Linked DNA regions of Nothobranchius furzeri. The protein of the gene in region 3 interacts with the protein of the main gene of each other region in a pairwise test. Links are inferred from orthologs where the notes say so. Each region holds a gene or a part of one and is shown on either strand. Other genes may lie near its edges.

Region 1 (4,213 bases), on a different chromosome or scaffold from region 3:
GCATGTTTAAGATATTTACTCAAATTTGAGTTGCTACATTTAATTACTTTGCTTCATGACTGAAACATCTGATAAATCTAGATTTTTTTAAAAAGTGAAACAGGAATTAAATTATAGATCTGTCAGTCCTATCAAGAATAAATGTTTTCAGGTTTTGTGGTCAATTTTTTTAATGTGAAAAATGTGAATAATAATTAAAAGAACAATAAATTCACATCTGGGAGATTTTTCATTAAAAAAGCTCAAATACAAAAGAATGTTCACTTCAACATGTCGCCCAAAACATGATTATTCGCTAATCTGTTAATTATGCAAATTTAATGTGTGAATTTGTAGCTAAAGGTGGGGTAGGAGATTTTTTCTGGAGTTTTTTGCTATATCAATTTCCCTCTGGGATTAATAAAGTATTTTTGAATTTGAATTGATATTGCTTGAAGTGCTCTTCACATACTGATGCCAACCACTAAATCAAATCTTTTGTCAATCATTGTGAACGTCCTATGTTTAAGGACCAGCTCATATTCCTTACATCAAACTGCTGCTCTGACCAGGGTTGGATCTTAGATTTCTACGTTTTCAAAAGAAGTAGCTGTTCGAAAAGCAAGAAAGCCACCTCCTATTGCACCTTTAGCTTTAACAATAAAAAAAATAAAACAACAGAAACAAGTCATTTCTGAGTCGCTTGTGTCGCATTAGCTAACAAAAACACAAACAATCATAGGTCCGATCTTTTGATATCAGCTGAATCTAGAAATAGGAAAGCTTCTGAGCGAGGATTTATAAACAGAATATTGACTGTAATCAGAGTTTTAATAGCTGAAGCACAGATATGTCCACTACTCTTCTTTTGTCTCAGGGTTGTCCCTCCATATGCAGTAGTTGAGGGTGGTGGCGAGGCAGAGCCAGGACAGATAAGGGGCCAGGAGCAGAGTGGCGGTGCGGCTGATAGAATACCAAGACACCATGGTGGCTCCAACAGTCCCAGTCAGGAACACAATCTCGACCATTGCCTACATTTAATAGAAAAAGGGCATCTAATGGAAATTAACACTCAAAAGTAACTTTTTTTTTTTTGCATTTCTCAATCCTTAATCAAATGTAAAAGGTTCAACTTGCCCATTTTATCTTGTGCGCTCCAAAGAAAATAGGAGTCCATGCCCAGTTCAGAGCCAACTGCAGCCCATACAGCCCCAGTGGAACCAGTGCATCCTCAGTGAAACCTCCAAGTTCTTTCCAGATCAGGTAGGAACCATAACTGGAAGACAGAGTCCAAAAATAATCCATTAGCTTAAGGAACAAAGGTGGTCGGAGTCTGTCCGTGTGGCTCTTACCCCATCCCTGTGTACAGACATGTCCACACCACCGGAAAGGCTGCGTTTGGGGGGCGCCACGAGGGTTTGTTCAGGGTGGTGTACCACGTCTTCACCTGTTTGCGTGTAATGAAACCCCCATAGATTCCTCCAATGTGTGGGAGGGCGGTCATCCCAATCAGAGGCAGCCACATGGTCTGAGATGAGAGCAGGTTGGTTAATCATTCTACTAAACCTCATCTCTCTGTACATGAAGAACTTTGGTGAATAACATTGTCAGATGAGTTACAGATGCAGACATTAAAAAAAAGATCCAAGATAATGCATTATAAAACGGGTTTTTTTTCTGAGAAATGTGTGTAGGTAAATAAGCTATTTCTAATTGAAAATTTTAATATTTATTTTAGCAATTCTCTGTTGATAAAAAAAGCATTTGTGTTGCCCAAAATTATACATGAGAATTTCTGAACATTTTAAATTCTGTTTTAGTGTAAATGTTTCCTTTTTGGTGGCAAAAAATGAAGATATAAAGCAAAAATGCTACTTCATTGTTTACCAAGTTTCTCAAACACAATTTTGAATCAGAAATATATCAAAAATAAAAATGAAGTAATACATTAGGTAATCTTGGGGCAGATTGTGTTAAACATTTATGAGTTTAATGTCTGAATTTAGGAGTCTTGAGCTATGTATGCTTTTATTTTGAAACTCGTGATTGCTGACGAGATTAAATAATCTGAGGACTGCGCCCTATTCATCTTTTTGGTTTATCAAATAACATTTAAAGGGATGTTAATTTAATGTGCTCCGAGTGCTACAGCGTTAGCCGAAACTTAGCAGCTAAAAAAAGGTAAAAACAAATCTTCAACTACATTAGAAAAGAACTAAACAATGAAATGTTACTTTAATCCATAATCCATTTCGGGGCTGCAGGTTGTGTCGTAAAAATCAAGAATATCTATTTAAGGTAAAAAGGTATTCCTATTGTTTATTAGACTCACTACGTGCAAACATGAATTTAAAAGACGTGCGCATTTTGCTAAGAGTTTATTTCACGGTAAACATGTTTGTATTCCAAGAGGCGTTAACATGCAAAATAACTGTAGGAACTTTAAACTCTCCACGCAAAGTTCGGTATTTTGTCACAGGTTCTTGTTGTGGCAGAACGAAAAACAGCTAGCTAACGTGTAAATGTATTGCCATTGGAGGAAACTAAACGCAAGAAAGTAGTTTATTACACAGAAAAGAGTTAGATCAATTTTTTGCGGAAAAAGGGTTAGCTTAACACTTTCGGTTCGCGTGTGCCTAAGGTCAAGTGGACGTAGCTTCATTCTTACCTTTCCTTTCAGCTGTCTGCGTCACGTAGCGCAAGTAAAGTCGTTAAAACCTTTAGTTCAAGAAACGAAAGCTTCACACACTTAGTGGTTCTCTGGCATGCTGATAATGAGGTGATATAAGTTTTTTAAAGGGCAGGGCAGTCTTATCGGAGTGGTCATTCCTCCGACACTCCCAGTCTGAACCAGAACCAAACTACGTGACGTCACTGAGTGCTAACCATCGATTGGTCACGCAGAGACAATTTGACTGGCGTTTGGAGGTTAGAATTGAGAGTATTATTCACTCACTTTTGGGTATTAACACGCTGCAGCAGTCCGACAGTCAAACAATACAACTAGCCATCTAACTGCTTGCTGCTCGGTCGAAACATTTGAAATTTCCTTGTAATTTCGCAACAACCGGAAACGTGACATAAAGCAAAGGTTACACAAAGCTCAAGATAGTTCCCGCCTCTCACGTGCAAGTCGTTTGAAACGTAAATACGAGTTAATTTCACCGTTTTCCACTAAAGCTAAAATATGTCTCGATTTTTTCATATGCTAACTTTAAAGATCAAATACAACACAAGCCACAAGTAGGCTCAATAGGTCATCTTTCTCTCTCTTTTTCACCTCAAACAGTTTTTGTCAGAACACAAGTTTGACAAATCTAACAATAGAAATGTAAAGAAATGTTTTAACTAGTGCACTTCATGATGCAGATCTGTCTCTTAACATCCAGTTCTGCATGTGGCAGTTTAAAGTTTTCTTGAAGATAAAATGCAAATAATTAGTTTGCAATACTACTTAACACATTTTTTAACCACCACCAGGGAGGTGTCCAGGAGGCATTCTGACCAGATGCCCGAGCCACCTCAACTGGCTCCTCTCGATGTGGAGGAACAGCGAATCTACTCCGAGCCCCTCCCAGATGACTGTGCTTCTCACCCTATCTCTAACGGAGAGCCCAGCCACTCTGCGGAGAAAACTCATTTTGGCCGCTTGTAACCGCTATCTCGTTCTTTCGGTCACTACCCAAAGCTCATGACCATAGTTGAGGGTAGGATCGTCGATCGACCGGTAAATCGAGAGCTTTGCCTTCTGACTCAGCTCTCTCTTCACCACGACAATCCGGTACAACGCCCGCATCACTTTCAAAAAACCTGAAGAAAAAATGATCATGACCCCTTAAAAAGCAAGGCAGCTTTATTAACAAAGCACATTTCATACACATTTCAGTGTGCTTTCCAGGTGCAAGGAAAAAACATAAAGGTAGATTAAAAAAGTAAATTTAAAAGACAAATAAAATTGGATTTAGAAAAGTACAAAGTTAAAGTTCACTCATAAACTCAAATGAAAAAATAAATAAAGTCTTCTATTTTAGTATAAAAGTTAAACACTGCTTGGAGCAAAACATGAGGAACTCGGGAAAAGGTTCAGTTTTTTTGCACATTCGTGTATTTAAAAAAGTAAATGTAAGGAAGAATGAATCTCATTGTAGGCAGAGGCGCACCAGCTCATGAGGGTTTTTACGCCCCTCCTCCGTGTCTGCCAGGCAGACACACCTTTCCTCCGCGGTCCTCCAGC
Region 2 (4,083 bases), on a different chromosome or scaffold from region 3:
CGGGAACAAGCGCTGTTCAGCCAAAGTTTCATAATTTCATAAAAAGAAAATTTTTCCAAGTGAAACATCCCTCAGAGAGACCGGGTTTCCAGACCGCTTCAGTGGGAGGAAATCTTATCGCATGCACCGTGGTTCTGCACTGCGCTGCGAACCCCTCTACAGATCTTCAGCCCACTGTCCACCGCGGGCGCTCCGAGCCTCGCTGAACACAGTGTCCAGTATAAAGCTCTGATGGGAATCAAGTTACCGCTGTGATGTGCGTAACGATTAAAATATCAGCTCATCCATGCGCATCAGTGTGCGTCGGGGTAATTCTTTCAAAACAACTAACATCCTTGAGTTTATCCATCAAAATAAACAGTCAAATGGAAATATTTGTAACCTGCCATTTAACTGTTTACCTTCCTGTGAAGATTGTTGCAAAGAGAAACAACTAAACTTGATTAACCCCAGAGCCACGCGCACTGCGCTGTACTTCCTGGCTGTAAATGAGGGGGAAACAATTTAATTGGATCCTTTTCTTTTCAACATGGTTTAATGTCAGTCGCGTGTCCAGATCCTGTAAAATGGGGTGGCCCAGGTGAGGCACAACTTTGTGCATGGGTGGCACCAAAGGTTATGGTCCCCCCCCCCCCCCCCCCCCCAAGCCTTTTGTGGACAACAAAAATCCTATTTAAAGGTAAATTAGTGTGTTGGCACCTGGGGTGGCCATTCAGATTCCAAGGGTCGCATGTGCTACCCCAGGCCACTCCCTGGACATGCCCCTGTTTAATGTAAAGTTTCATTCAGTACAAACTTTAGTTACACCAATCTAAGAGACAGAGCCCGGATTTGTATTCTGAACAGTTTAAACATGTTTAAAACGGAGACATACGTGACACGTCTAAAGTTCAACTATTATGGAAATTAAACTAACAAGATGAATAACATGAAATTATTTCAGGCACAGAAAACATCCCCCACACTTTTGAAAAGCTTGCAACGCGCCTGGGTTACAATACATAACCAACGTTAGCATGCGCATCAAAGCCTAATGAATTGGCTTCCGAAATGGAGCTGTTAAGGAGCTTGGATTTTTTAAAATATATTTGTAGTTCAATCGTGTTGCATATAATCAATATTTGATACTTTTTTAGTTTTAGGTTAATTAAAGGACCTCAAACTTCTGTGTTCTGTAACAAAATACGTACTACAGATACGCTGCCCTCGTTGCATTATGGGAATAGTGGTCTGAAAACGAGCCTTGTAGATGCGTAGATCGGACTTGCACACAACAATACCCAGGGTTCTTTGCGCTGAGGCTACGTCAACCGAAATCACAGTTGTTTTTTCCAACATGGCGTCGCTGGGAAGGAGGCGCGGTGTCCCAGTAAGCAGGGAGAGGTCAGTTACTCTGCTTTTTTGCCATAAAGCGAAATTATTTTCATAACTGACAAAGTTTAGTCGATGTCACATCCTGTTCTCGAACATGCATCTAATTTATGATTCAAACTCCAGTGCCAACATAAAAAAGGCGTTATTTTACTCCATGGTTAGCTAACATTAGCTGGCGGCTAGCTTCCGTTGTTAGCAGGGAACAAACTTATCTAGTCATGGGTTGTTTTCAATGTTTCAGTCAGACTTAATAACGGTGGAAGAAGCTGCAATGGACGGTGCTTTGGTACCGACACTTCTGTGACATTGCGGGGTTCATAAAATGCCCAAATCAGTCTCTGCTGCGGCTGTGCGCCGTTTTAAGTCGAGCTACTCTGAAAGTAAAAATGGTCCTGAAGTTCGTTGGTCAGTCAGTCCTCCAACTTCAGAATATGTTGTTCCCATCCGCTCTGGTACACTTGTCCCAGACTAAAATACATTGAAATTATTATGTCTGGTATTTGATTATCCTTCACTCTGTATTTTACCATCAGCACGCTGTCATTGGAAGTTGGGATTGTTTGTCCTTAACGCAGCGCTCACTGGAGGACCTCAGTGTAGACCATCATCAGCCTCTCGCGTTTTACCTATCTTATGTCTATGGTTGTAACATAAGGTGAAGAAACAAACAGGTTTGAAAATGGGACCAAACTTGTCAATAAACAACCAACCTGGTAACTTTGTGTGAATGTGTGATGGCAGCGTGTGAAGTTATTTAACTGAATTTCTTCTCTTCACCAACAAATTTTGATACTAAATATTATTGTTTATTTGAGGGGAACGTGTGTAGCTTTATGGCACTTTAAATATTAATTAACGAATTTATGGAAACTACTATGAAAGCAATTGTTCTTACTGCTTAAAATCCTTGAATGCCTGATTTTAATGTGGTATTTTCAAGTAAATAATGTAGTAATTAGTTTCAAAATCATTCAAGCTGTGCCTGAAAATGGTTATAGGATAATATTTACATAAGAGAAATGGTTCAATAACTGATCATATATGTACTGCTGCTCATTAATCGTCCCTAATGTAAGATGTTTAAAGTCCTGAAAAACTTTAGGGAAAGGACTTAAAGTGCTTGAATTTGTTTGGGCAAATATATAAGAACCCTAAAAATGTTTTGCTTCTTTAAAGAACATTTAAACAGCACAAATAAGTGTGGGTTTCCTGTCTTATCAGTTTGGGTGGGATTGTGACGCACACTTTTTTTCTTCTTTTTTCGTGCAAGCAGCCGCAAGACATTGAACCTTTCTCAAAATTCGGGTTAAAATAGATTAAAAGTAGAAGTGGATATGAGCTATTTATTAATATTTCTCCGTTCAATAGTGAGAGATATTTGCTCAACTTTAGTCAAACCACAGACAGGAAATAAGTTAAGTTTGCCAAGTTCATATTTATTTATAACAGGTTAGTAAACACTTATTTTATTATTTACAAAGACAGCACACAAACTGTTCAAAAATATCTCCCAAGAATGGGAATAAACTTAATTTATAATCAAGTAAAAACCTTCATTATGCCTCAATGTTTACATTTTAATAAGAAAGTAAAACTAAACGGGTCATAGGTATTTTAATAAAAAGCAACAGCCACAGAATGATGGTATTGTGGTTAAAACAAAGCAGTTGGTTACAAAAATAATATTGAGTTTTCTTATTAATTTCCTGTCTTGTTGTCTTTTCATTACCAGCCTGTGTATTTGATTGTGTGCAGGGCAGTGATGGCTGCGTCAGACTGCTACATTGTACATGAGATCTACAATGGGGAGAATGCGCAGGACCAGTTTGAGTACGAGCTGGAGCAGGCACTGGAGGCCCAGTATAAATATATTGTTATTGAGCCCACACGGATCGGGGATGAGACGGCCCGCTGGATTACGGTGGGGAACTGCCTGCACAAGACGGCTGTGTTGTCAGGCGCTGCATGCCTCCTGACGCCACTTTCGCTGCCTGCAGAATACTCGCGCTATGTAGCATTGCCAGCTGGTGCCCTCAGTGTGGCCTGTGCTGCGCTCTATGGGATTTCATGGCAGTTTGATCCCTGCTGCAAGTACCAAGTGGAATACAACAGCCAAAAACTCTCACGGCTGCCCCTGCATACACTGACCTCCTCAACACCCGTGGTTTTGGTACGCAGGGATGACGTCCACAGAAAGAGACTCCATAATACGATAGCACTGGCTGCTCTGGCGTATTGCGCCAAGAAGATCTATGAACTCTATGTGGTATGAGTGCACTCTGAAGATTTAAGAACCATCAAAAAAAAAAGCAAAAAAAAAAAATTAACAAAACAACATACTCACCCCCGGATGTTAGAAAAGTGGAAGTCCCGTTCAGGCTCAGCAGTTAGCTCTACAGAGGGTGGGTGCTTCCACTTGGAACATTGATCAGAGGGATATAGCTAAAACTAGAAGGGATTTTTTTCCATGTACTTCTATGTGACAGCAGCACACCTATTGCCATAGTACTTTCGCGCCAGCCCCCTTACCCCCTCCACCCGCTTCTCTGTCACACAAGCTTGTGCAAAAGGACATGACCTCAGTTCCTCTGAAAGGAATGGTTTTGGATTAAAAATGGAACAGACACATTTGTTGTACAATGCTCTTTCCCCTTTCCCTTGTAGTTTTGCTGTACCCGTTTTTTGCTGATCAAGTACATTAATGTTTGA
Region 3 (4,165 bases):
TTGCTGGGGGGGGGGGGGGGGGGGCTGGGGGGGCTGGGCCTCTTTGCCTAGGCTGCTGCCCCCGTGACCCAACCCTGGATAGGCGGCCGAAAACAATGGATGGATGGATGGATGGATGGATGGATGGCTTTCTTGCAATTGTCTAAAAACGTCTACCAATAACACGTTTTGGACCAAACGCAACTATTGGACCATCCGGTTGTCGGTGTTACCGAACCGCCACACTTTCCTGGGTCCTCCACTCATCACACACTCACGTATTCAGCAGCAGAACACCACTGGTGTGAGAGGTTCTCTGCTCAATAACATCTGAGGAGAAAGAGCCGGCTGCTACCACTGAGCTTCAGGACAAACTATCGGAGTCCCAAAAAGAAAATCACCATTTGAAGTCACGGACAACAAAAGACGTTTGGACCTTGAAAACAGCGACTGGTGTTTAGCGCTATCTCGTTTCTTCTGGCTATGCGGGTGTTCGTTTACAGTTGTGGCGGATCCAGAGAAGATACCCGAGGGCGTGGGTGAGTGTACCGTGACCATGTTTGTGTTTAAAACCTAGCTTGTTTGCAGATTTGTTATAAAAGCTTTAAAGTAAAGAAAGGACCTAGGTGAACTGGAAAACCTGTAAACACCTATAATAATCTACAGTAAACGCACAGTTGAATCAACACAAACCACTATCACAGTCTTTGCATGATGGTCCTGTACAACTCTCCCAACACATAAAACGCTTAACAAATGAAAATAAAAGCTGTTAGCATGGCGGGACACAGGCTTGTGTCATTAGCTGAGATAAAACATCAATGTTCCACTTTTACAAAAAAAAAAAAAAAGTGAACAAAGGCAGCAGACGAGTTGATTTAGCCAATTAAAGGCAAGATTTTTGCATATCATGAATATGAATGAGTAACATCCTCAGACTAACCTCTAACCCCTGGTACAGAAGCTCGAGAGCGTTTATTCCACAGAGACGACCACAGCAAACAAGTGAATGAGAAATTTAAGGGGAAGTATTATAACTTATATTAAGTTATGGTTATATATGAAGTTCTTTACATAAAGTCTCTCTCATAAAGCGATTAGCAGTTTTATCGTTTACAGTTGGCTGGGTAACGTCCAGAATTAGCCATTTCAGGGTTCTGCCACCTTAATGTAAATAAGCTGTTGCTGGCCCCGCCCAACATTACCTGATTGGCTGCTGTGGGGTGAGCAATTCATATATAAGGGAGGGGCTTCGAGTAGAGCCACCACTCCTCCAGTGTAAACAGGTGAGGGGGATTCAACGCAAATGTTCTTTTGTGTGAAGTCACAATAAGGGTCATTACAAGGGTCTAGACAGCTAGACCGTCTACTTTCTTTGGCAAAAGACAGTCTAGCTTCTATGCTAGTTTACCCTTGCTGTGAAGTTGGCATTTTTAACTTCCTCTTTCTGGTGCTAGCCCCTAGCGGATGAGAGGGGAACTGCAATTTCTGTCACGTCTGAGTTGGCCGCCCTTGGTTTTACCTTTAGCAGCCATCTTGACTTGGAGTGACTCTAAAAGTTAGCCCAGTTGCTGATGATTACTTTCTTGGGAGTCTGACTCAAATTAGCCAAGAACAGGTTGCTAGCAAACAAAGACACTGGAGGAAAAATATCTTAGGAATCAGTCACTGGTTTTCAGGACCATCTTTCTGTTGCCTAACAGCATCTTTTGCACACATTTGTATTAAAACTTGGTTCATTCACTGAACTAAAGTGTGCCATACTGATCCATTCTTTCCCTGTTTCCTCAGTAGGACAGCCCAGCCTAGTGGACTCCCTATTTAGAGCAGACAGAGGAGTTTAAAGAGTTTAAACCACAAGCAGACTGCACGCCTGACTCACGGACTAGAATAGAAGTCAACCCAAAAAAAGATGGGTTAACACAATGTGGAAAAAGAAAAAGTGACGATTCCTGCTGCCGTTAACCTCTCAGTGTGTTTCCACTTTAAAAACTCAGACATGCAGACTCATTACTGATTATGAGGAGGTTAAATGCAATTAGTCACACTTCTCAGGGGCAGTCATAGGTGTGATTGTAGTGAAACAGTAACTTTTAATGAAAAGTTTCATGTGAAAAATGTGCTAATTATCAGTTGACTAGGAGACAGGACATCCATCTGTGGGGATCGGAGCCTGGGTTGATGCAAACTGCTGGGATCTGTGACTTTATTTCATTTCATAAAATCTCGTGCAGCATCTAAAATCAATGTGGTGAGTTATTTCATTGTGAAAGATGCCTTGCTAGGAGGCTGAGGCAATAAACCTGATCAAGTACCTGAATAATGCAACACCTGCTAGTCGAAACAAGTTAACCAGTAACCAGCCAGCATGTTTCCAGTTTCCTCTAGTAGTCACACACACACACGCACGCACGCACGCACGCACGCACACACACACACGCGCGCGCAATTCACACACACACACACACACACACACACACACACACACACACACACACACACACACGGTAAATGAGCCCCGGATGTGTGTCAGGATCTCATAAATCCACCACCCTCCCGAGGTCCGGCTGCGGGCGGAACAAACACCGCGGGGTGCGTTTGGGTTCCAGCAGGGAGACGCTAAAGAGACTTGAACTCACCACGTTCGTGAGGAAATCACCGTCGCTCAGCTCCTCCAGGTCCAACAGGTTGGTCCCTGCGTGGGGATAGAGTTTGTCCACCACAAAACTGTCTAGGAGAGACTCCATCATGATGGACAGTAGCTCCCTGGTCGCGCGACACTTCAAAATCAACTCATTAAAAAACGAGAAGGTTTGTTTTCAAGCGCTCCTCCTGGAAAAGTGAAGCGGAAGCGACGTAACGTCAGATTTCTTCTGAATTACACATCCTTCTCCACCCGGCTTGCTGTGGTGGAGCCGCTGATGTTCTTCTGCTCTCTCCTCCTCTTTCGCGAGTGCTGTCAGCCACGCGCCGATGAATATTCAACCAAACCCCGCCCACCCCGGTAAACACGCGCCACGCCCCCAGAATTATACGAAGTTTTTTTTATCACAACGAAATTAAATCCAAACGTTTTCCAAGAAAATATTTGAACAAGAACGCAAAAACACTTTGATATAATTTAGATTCATTGATAAACGTTTGATAACTGGAAAATAACTGGAAAATGTGAAACTTTTCACCTGTGTATTTTTACCACAGACATATCAGATAAGTTATTATAGTTTTTACTTAAATACTTTTTTCAAATGGCCATGTTTTGTTGGATTAGAATGAAAAAGATAATTGTTAGCAGCACCTGGAGTAGCTAAAGTCAGGGGCGCCTCCAGAAAATTTAGATGGAGTGGCCACCATCGACATATATACTGCAGACAGGGCCAAATAATTTTTTGGGGTGGCACACCACACTGGTCCTCTGGGAGAGGCGGTGATGTATTGCATTTCTCCTTTATTCATTTTTATTATTTGTTGAAAACAGTACGTATCCAAAACATTTAACAACAATTTTATAAATACTTACATTTCAGTTATTTAAAATGTTAGTTCAAATTTTATTTTAAAATTTCTTTTTTATTTTAATTCACCTGTTGCTGTGTTCACAAAAAACTATGGAGATAAAAAAAATGTAAACAGTGAGCAGCAGAAACATGTGTATTTTTTTATTCTGATTGTTTCTTTACTCATTAATTATATTATTTTTATTTTGTTTTTCAAATGTGTCTTGAATAAATAAGATCAATTTATGGTTTGAGTGAACACTAATATGATTTATTAACACTGGCTTTTTCTGGGAGGGGCAACAATTATCTAGTGGCCATGGCCACCCCTTGGGAGCGCCATTGGCTAAAATAATTAGCCCGTATCGTACCTGTTCTTCCTTAAAACACAAAAACGCTTTTTAAAACTCGTTAAAAGTAGTATTTCCAAACATAAACTCATTACTTAAAATTTTATCACACCAATTAGTCATTTTTAAATTTAATATGTCTCAATGAATAATCCAATAAACCAAAGATTATGTTTCAAGTCATTTAAAAAGTAACTAAAAGTTAATTATGCATATTTGCTTGCAGTTTGGATAAACAAGTGCTATTGATGTTTTTACATCAGGATCAGCTCTTATCACTAATTTTACTTCTACTTTCAATCATTATTATTATTTATATTATTTTAAATAAATATGATT
Region 4 (4,376 bases), on a different chromosome or scaffold from region 3:
AAATAGGTTTTTCTAGAAGGCTGCAAGTAAAATGTCACATACAGTTTGTCTTCCAGGCACATCCTAGGCCCGACCACGCTGGCGGCGCCACTCGTAACTTTGAAGGCAAAATGTCCAGCGGGACACGCCTTGGACAGCCCGCATTTATGAATGGCCGGCTTTGTTGCTGTAAACACAGAAAAAAAAAAACCTCTATTAACATATCAAAGCATAACGTCAAAAACACAGAATACCGTAAATCCTCTAATATTGGCCTGTATTCAATTAACGGTCGGGTATCACATTTTGGCCGGTGTCGGAGTCGGCGGAGGTGAATAACGGCCGTTTTTTTTTTATTGTGGCCAGATGGGATGTGGTAACAAGCAAGTACCACTGGGGGGGCGGTTGTGTCATCCGTCTCACTTTTGATTTGCCAGTGATAGACCGTGAGGGTAACTTTAACCATGCAGGTGCGGAGCCGAAGAGGAACTGAATTTGAGGGTTTTATTTTATTTTTTACTACAACCCAAACGAGACGAAACGATTCAACTTTGAAGCGGCAAGGTTGCCTTTTCTAATACCGGTATTTAATAACGTTTAAAATGCAGTACAGGTATGTTTTCTACTGTTTTGTTACAATACAGTATTTCCCTACTGTAATTTAGCCTTGTTAATGTTTTATATGCAAACCGTACCACATTATGGTAACTGCACATTTTCAATAAATGAACCTAGTATTTTATAGGTTCAAATACACACCCCGTTTTTATTCATTCTACTGGTATTCATTTTGCTCAAATAGAAATTGAGTCCTACCTCCAATTCTGGCCCTCCTTCCAATAAAGGCCTGGAGCTTGATGAGCTTGAGTAAATTACTGTATTAGAAGATTTACAATATCACATGCCTGTCCGTGTTTTAACTTAGTAATGTCTACCGGGGCGACGGTGGCACAGGAGTTAAGTGCTCGCCCCATAATTGGAAGGTTGCAGGTTCCGAGCCCCGCTCAGTCTGTCGCTGTCGTTGTGTCCTTGGGCAAGACACTTAACCCACGTTGCCTGCTGGTGGTGGTCGGAGGGAACGGTGGCACCAGTGCTCAGCAGCCTCGCCTCTGTTAGTGCGCCCCAGGACACCTGCCGCTACATTGTAGCTCATCCCCACCAGTGTGTGAATGTGTGTGTGAATGGGTGAATGACTGTTGTAAAGTGCCTTGAGGGGCTCCAGGACTCTAGAAGGTGCTATATCAAGTACAGGCCATTTACCATATTTAAAAGCATTCTTACGACAGCACAACATAATAAACAAATCATTACCCTTTTGTGTCGACTGGTAAGGAAAAACCAAAAGAAAGGAGTAGAAATACTTTAAAGTAAGCAGGTAGAGGAGGAAAAAAGTGAAAAGACAGGGGAATGTGAGGGATACTTACGTCCTGTAACCACCGGCAAAGATTTAGCTGAAAATGGGGGGAAAAAATGTATTACAAACGTAGGAAAATCTTTTAAATCAGCCACAGCTCTGAGTTCAGTGACAGACGAAATAACGCTGGCTGCATTTTTCACTGTCAAGCACAAGAACCTTTTCATGAGATGAAATGTTCTGAGTGAATTAAGGGATTTCACGCTCTGACAAACCCGATGACGTGAAAAAGCCTTTAGTGACACGCTTATTTTTTTTTTTTAAAAAAAAAAGGTGCGCTAGAAAAGGCTAAATATTTGAAATATGCACCCCATTGTGCCCTGAAGAGAATAACCAAGAACCAGTAGGTTCTGGTGTCCAGTTCCAAGAAATGTGTTCACTAAAAATTCACCCATTTAGTTAAAAGAACAAGAATAAATGAAGGACTTTATGAATAATTTTAAAAATAAGTCAACCAAGCCAGGCTCTTGAGTAAATAGCATCTCTCTAAACACAATTATACAGAGGCAATGAACAGCATGAGTGACACAAAAGATAAGAGCTATCACGAGCCTGTTGGGACGATTGCCTCACTTTTACCATCCCACTTCCGTGTGCTGCCTTTAGTAATGACTAACACCTTGTAGGCTACTCACCCATGCTGCCAATTTTAAAATCCACGTTGATCTCCAGAAGCTGAAAAGCCATAAAGACGGCTAGCAGGAACACTAATATGAGCGCAGCTAATTTCAAAACACCTGTAAAAAAAAAACAGCCCAGTTATAACAAAGATTTGAGTTGACCAGCTGTGAATGAATAAACAACATGAAGACATGCTCCTACCCCCGGCTCTGACCATCTTGGGAAGCCTCGGGCCACTTCTCCTCGCAGCTAGTCAGCCACCTTCAACAGCAGAACATGAACACTTCAGTCTTGTTTCTAACTGATTTTCACACCTGACGCAAATCTACGCTAATGAACAAGGAAGCGCTACTATTTGGGGAATGTTAGCATTAGCTTAACTACAACATAAAGGTAAATTTCCCCAAATATGCCCAACTTTATGAATTCTAAAACACTTACTTTTTAAAATAAGACCATTTAAAAGGTCAGGAGTGAGTGGCGACAACGTGAAACACCAAAGTTAGACTTTTAAACGGCTAAAGCTAGCACAAGTGTAGCATCTCTCTAGTTAGTGACTTGGCGAGTCGTAAACTAGATACAAAGTTTGTGTCAAATTACTGCTGTTAACCCGTGCTTGAACTGTAATAGTAACACCGTAACAGCAAAATGTGAATATGAGCTTTTAGGCGCTGTTTTGAAGGCTTTTTACCTGCTCGGTAACCACAGAGACTACAGATCCCCCGGTGGAAGCGTTAACCTGAGCTTTTCCGGTCTTGACGGCTCAGTTTCAGAGATGTCAAATAACGACTTATGGTTCACTACGTATGGAAATAAAAGGAGGGTGGCGGAACAGAATCCGGAACAAAACGAGGTTAGGTGTTGGAGTCATGCAAATCAACACGCACCATATAATTACAAATATATTTAAAGAATACAAGTTTATCTGTTACAAATTCCGGTCTATTATAACAACACAAATTAAATAACGAACGGCGGGGGAAAGCGTTAGTGAGGCAATTTCCTTGTTTTGTGAAACCTTGAACAAATTTTAAAAAATGGGTTGAATACTAACTATATAGCAACTACAAAAAAATGGTTTAACTTTTTTAGAGCAAAAACTGTAGGACAAATAAAACACACACACGCACACACACACAAATTACATTTTTGTATTTATTTGACACAGTTTGAAACACCAAATATACAGATAATAAATAAATGAACAAATAACGGCAAACGTTGTTTCATCTGGTCATTTCAGGAAAGGTTCCTGAATGTCAACGATAATATTATTAGACTTTTGACAAATGAAAATTTTATTATTAAAACCCCTCACGGAAACGTAAATTTTTTTAATGGCTAGGCAAAAGTGTTCGTTTCCACAAAAAAACAAATAAATATGCGAATTCGAAAATAAATATATATCGATGACAAAATAATTACATTAAAAAAATCATATTGCTATAAGTGGCCCATGGAGCAGACATCTAACTTCATCTCGCTGGAAGATTTTGTGCGCGTGAGTCATCTCTTATAGAAAATCTCTGTTCACGTAGACGCAGCCCTTCTTCTTCTGGTTGAGACCATGTACAGTCTATGGTTGAGACAGATGAGACGCGTTGCGACTGCCCTCTTGCGGAGAACAAGACACTGCTCAGGGAATAAACTGGATGGATCTATTGACTCAAATGTATTCTGTCATGTATATTAAGACGATACTATCTATAATGATAATTATGCAAATTAATTATTAAATAGAAATTTAAAAAATATGGCTTTGTAAATGAACATACTTTACTGTTTATAGTTCTTTTTTTTCCAATGCTAAATACACACCAGACTTGACTAAAAATGCTTATTCATATTTTTGGGCTACTACTCTAAACAGCAACAAATCAGTCAGATGATTTAAAAGAATTTTGTACAGGATTATTTCAGGTTTTCTTAAAAAAGAAAGAAACATACCTGGTGCAAAACAATCAATACAAATAAATAACATTAAAAATGCCGTACAAGTCACAACAGAAGTCAAGGCAAACTGAGAAAGAAGGGAAAAAAAGAAAAAAAAAGGCTGAGTTTAATAAATTAGCAGTAGTTATTTTTACATTCTTTACATTCATATTCACAGAAGTCTCTATTTTTGTGCCGTCGTCTCTTTGTCAGTGAAGAAGATCCTGGGGAAAAAAATCATGTAAAAATAAATCCACAAAATAAAGAGCAGAAGTCCTAAGTTGGTCATAAATGGCTCTTACATCATCTGAATCTGGTTGGCAGGCTGTTCCATTACTGCTGGTGGCACTTTCAACATCAGCTGCACCCCCGTTATTGTCTTCTTGGAGGCGAAGATTAGAGAAACGATATATTGGTGCCCTGTGAAAAA

What was found.
Region 1: the proteins of creb3l1 (region 3) and tspo interact in binary tests that used the Homo sapiens proteins (3 or more experiments, as listed by UniProt). The two-hybrid records come from large-scale screens. The link is inferred for Nothobranchius furzeri from reciprocal best matches to the Homo sapiens genes CREB3L1 and TSPO.
Region 2: the proteins of creb3l1 (region 3) and tmem11 interact in binary tests that used the Homo sapiens proteins (3 or more experiments, as listed by UniProt). The two-hybrid records come from large-scale screens. The link is inferred for Nothobranchius furzeri from reciprocal best matches to the Homo sapiens genes CREB3L1 and TMEM11.
Region 4: the proteins of creb3l1 (region 3) and fam3c interact in binary tests that used the Homo sapiens proteins (3 or more experiments, as listed by UniProt). The two-hybrid records come from large-scale screens. The link is inferred for Nothobranchius furzeri from reciprocal best matches to the Homo sapiens genes CREB3L1 and FAM3C.

The regions. Positions count from the first base shown.
Region 1 is NC_091743.1:66,946,726-66,950,938, forward strand, and holds tspo (translocator protein), read right to left. Parts: upstream 2,848-4,213; 5' UTR 2,648-2,847; intron 1,508-2,647; 5' UTR 1,505-1,507; coding exon 1,332-1,504; intron 1,256-1,331; coding exon 1,117-1,255; intron 1,011-1,116; coding exon 837-1,010; 3' UTR 153-836; downstream 1-152. UniProt on the Homo sapiens protein: Can bind protoporphyrin IX and may play a role in the transport of porphyrins and heme. Promotes the transport of cholesterol across mitochondrial membranes and may play a role in lipid metabolism, but its precise physiological role is controversial.
Region 2 is NC_091752.1:51,142,669-51,146,751, reverse strand, and holds tmem11 (transmembrane protein 11, mitochondrial), read left to right. Parts: upstream 1-1,236; 5' UTR 1,237-1,249; coding exon 1,250-1,383; intron 1,384-3,129; coding exon 3,130-3,646; 3' UTR 3,647-3,800; downstream 3,801-4,083. UniProt on the Homo sapiens protein: Plays a role in mitochondrial morphogenesis.
Region 3 is NC_091754.1:48,088,238-48,092,402, forward strand, and holds the start of creb3l1 (cyclic AMP-responsive element-binding protein 3-like protein 1), read right to left. Parts: upstream 2,935-4,165; 5' UTR 2,730-2,934; coding exon 2,619-2,729; intron 1-2,618.
Region 4 is NC_091741.1:44,500,930-44,505,305, forward strand, and holds the start of fam3c (protein FAM3C), read right to left. Parts: upstream 2,848-4,376; 5' UTR 2,706-2,847; intron 2,276-2,705; 5' UTR 2,232-2,275; coding exon 2,216-2,231; intron 2,131-2,215; coding exon 2,029-2,130; intron 1,431-2,028; coding exon 1,404-1,430; intron 167-1,403; coding exon 43-166; intron 1-42. Other genes in the region: sortilin, read right to left, coding at 4,156-4,170, 4,249-4,366. UniProt on the Homo sapiens protein: May be involved in retinal laminar formation. Promotes epithelial to mesenchymal transition.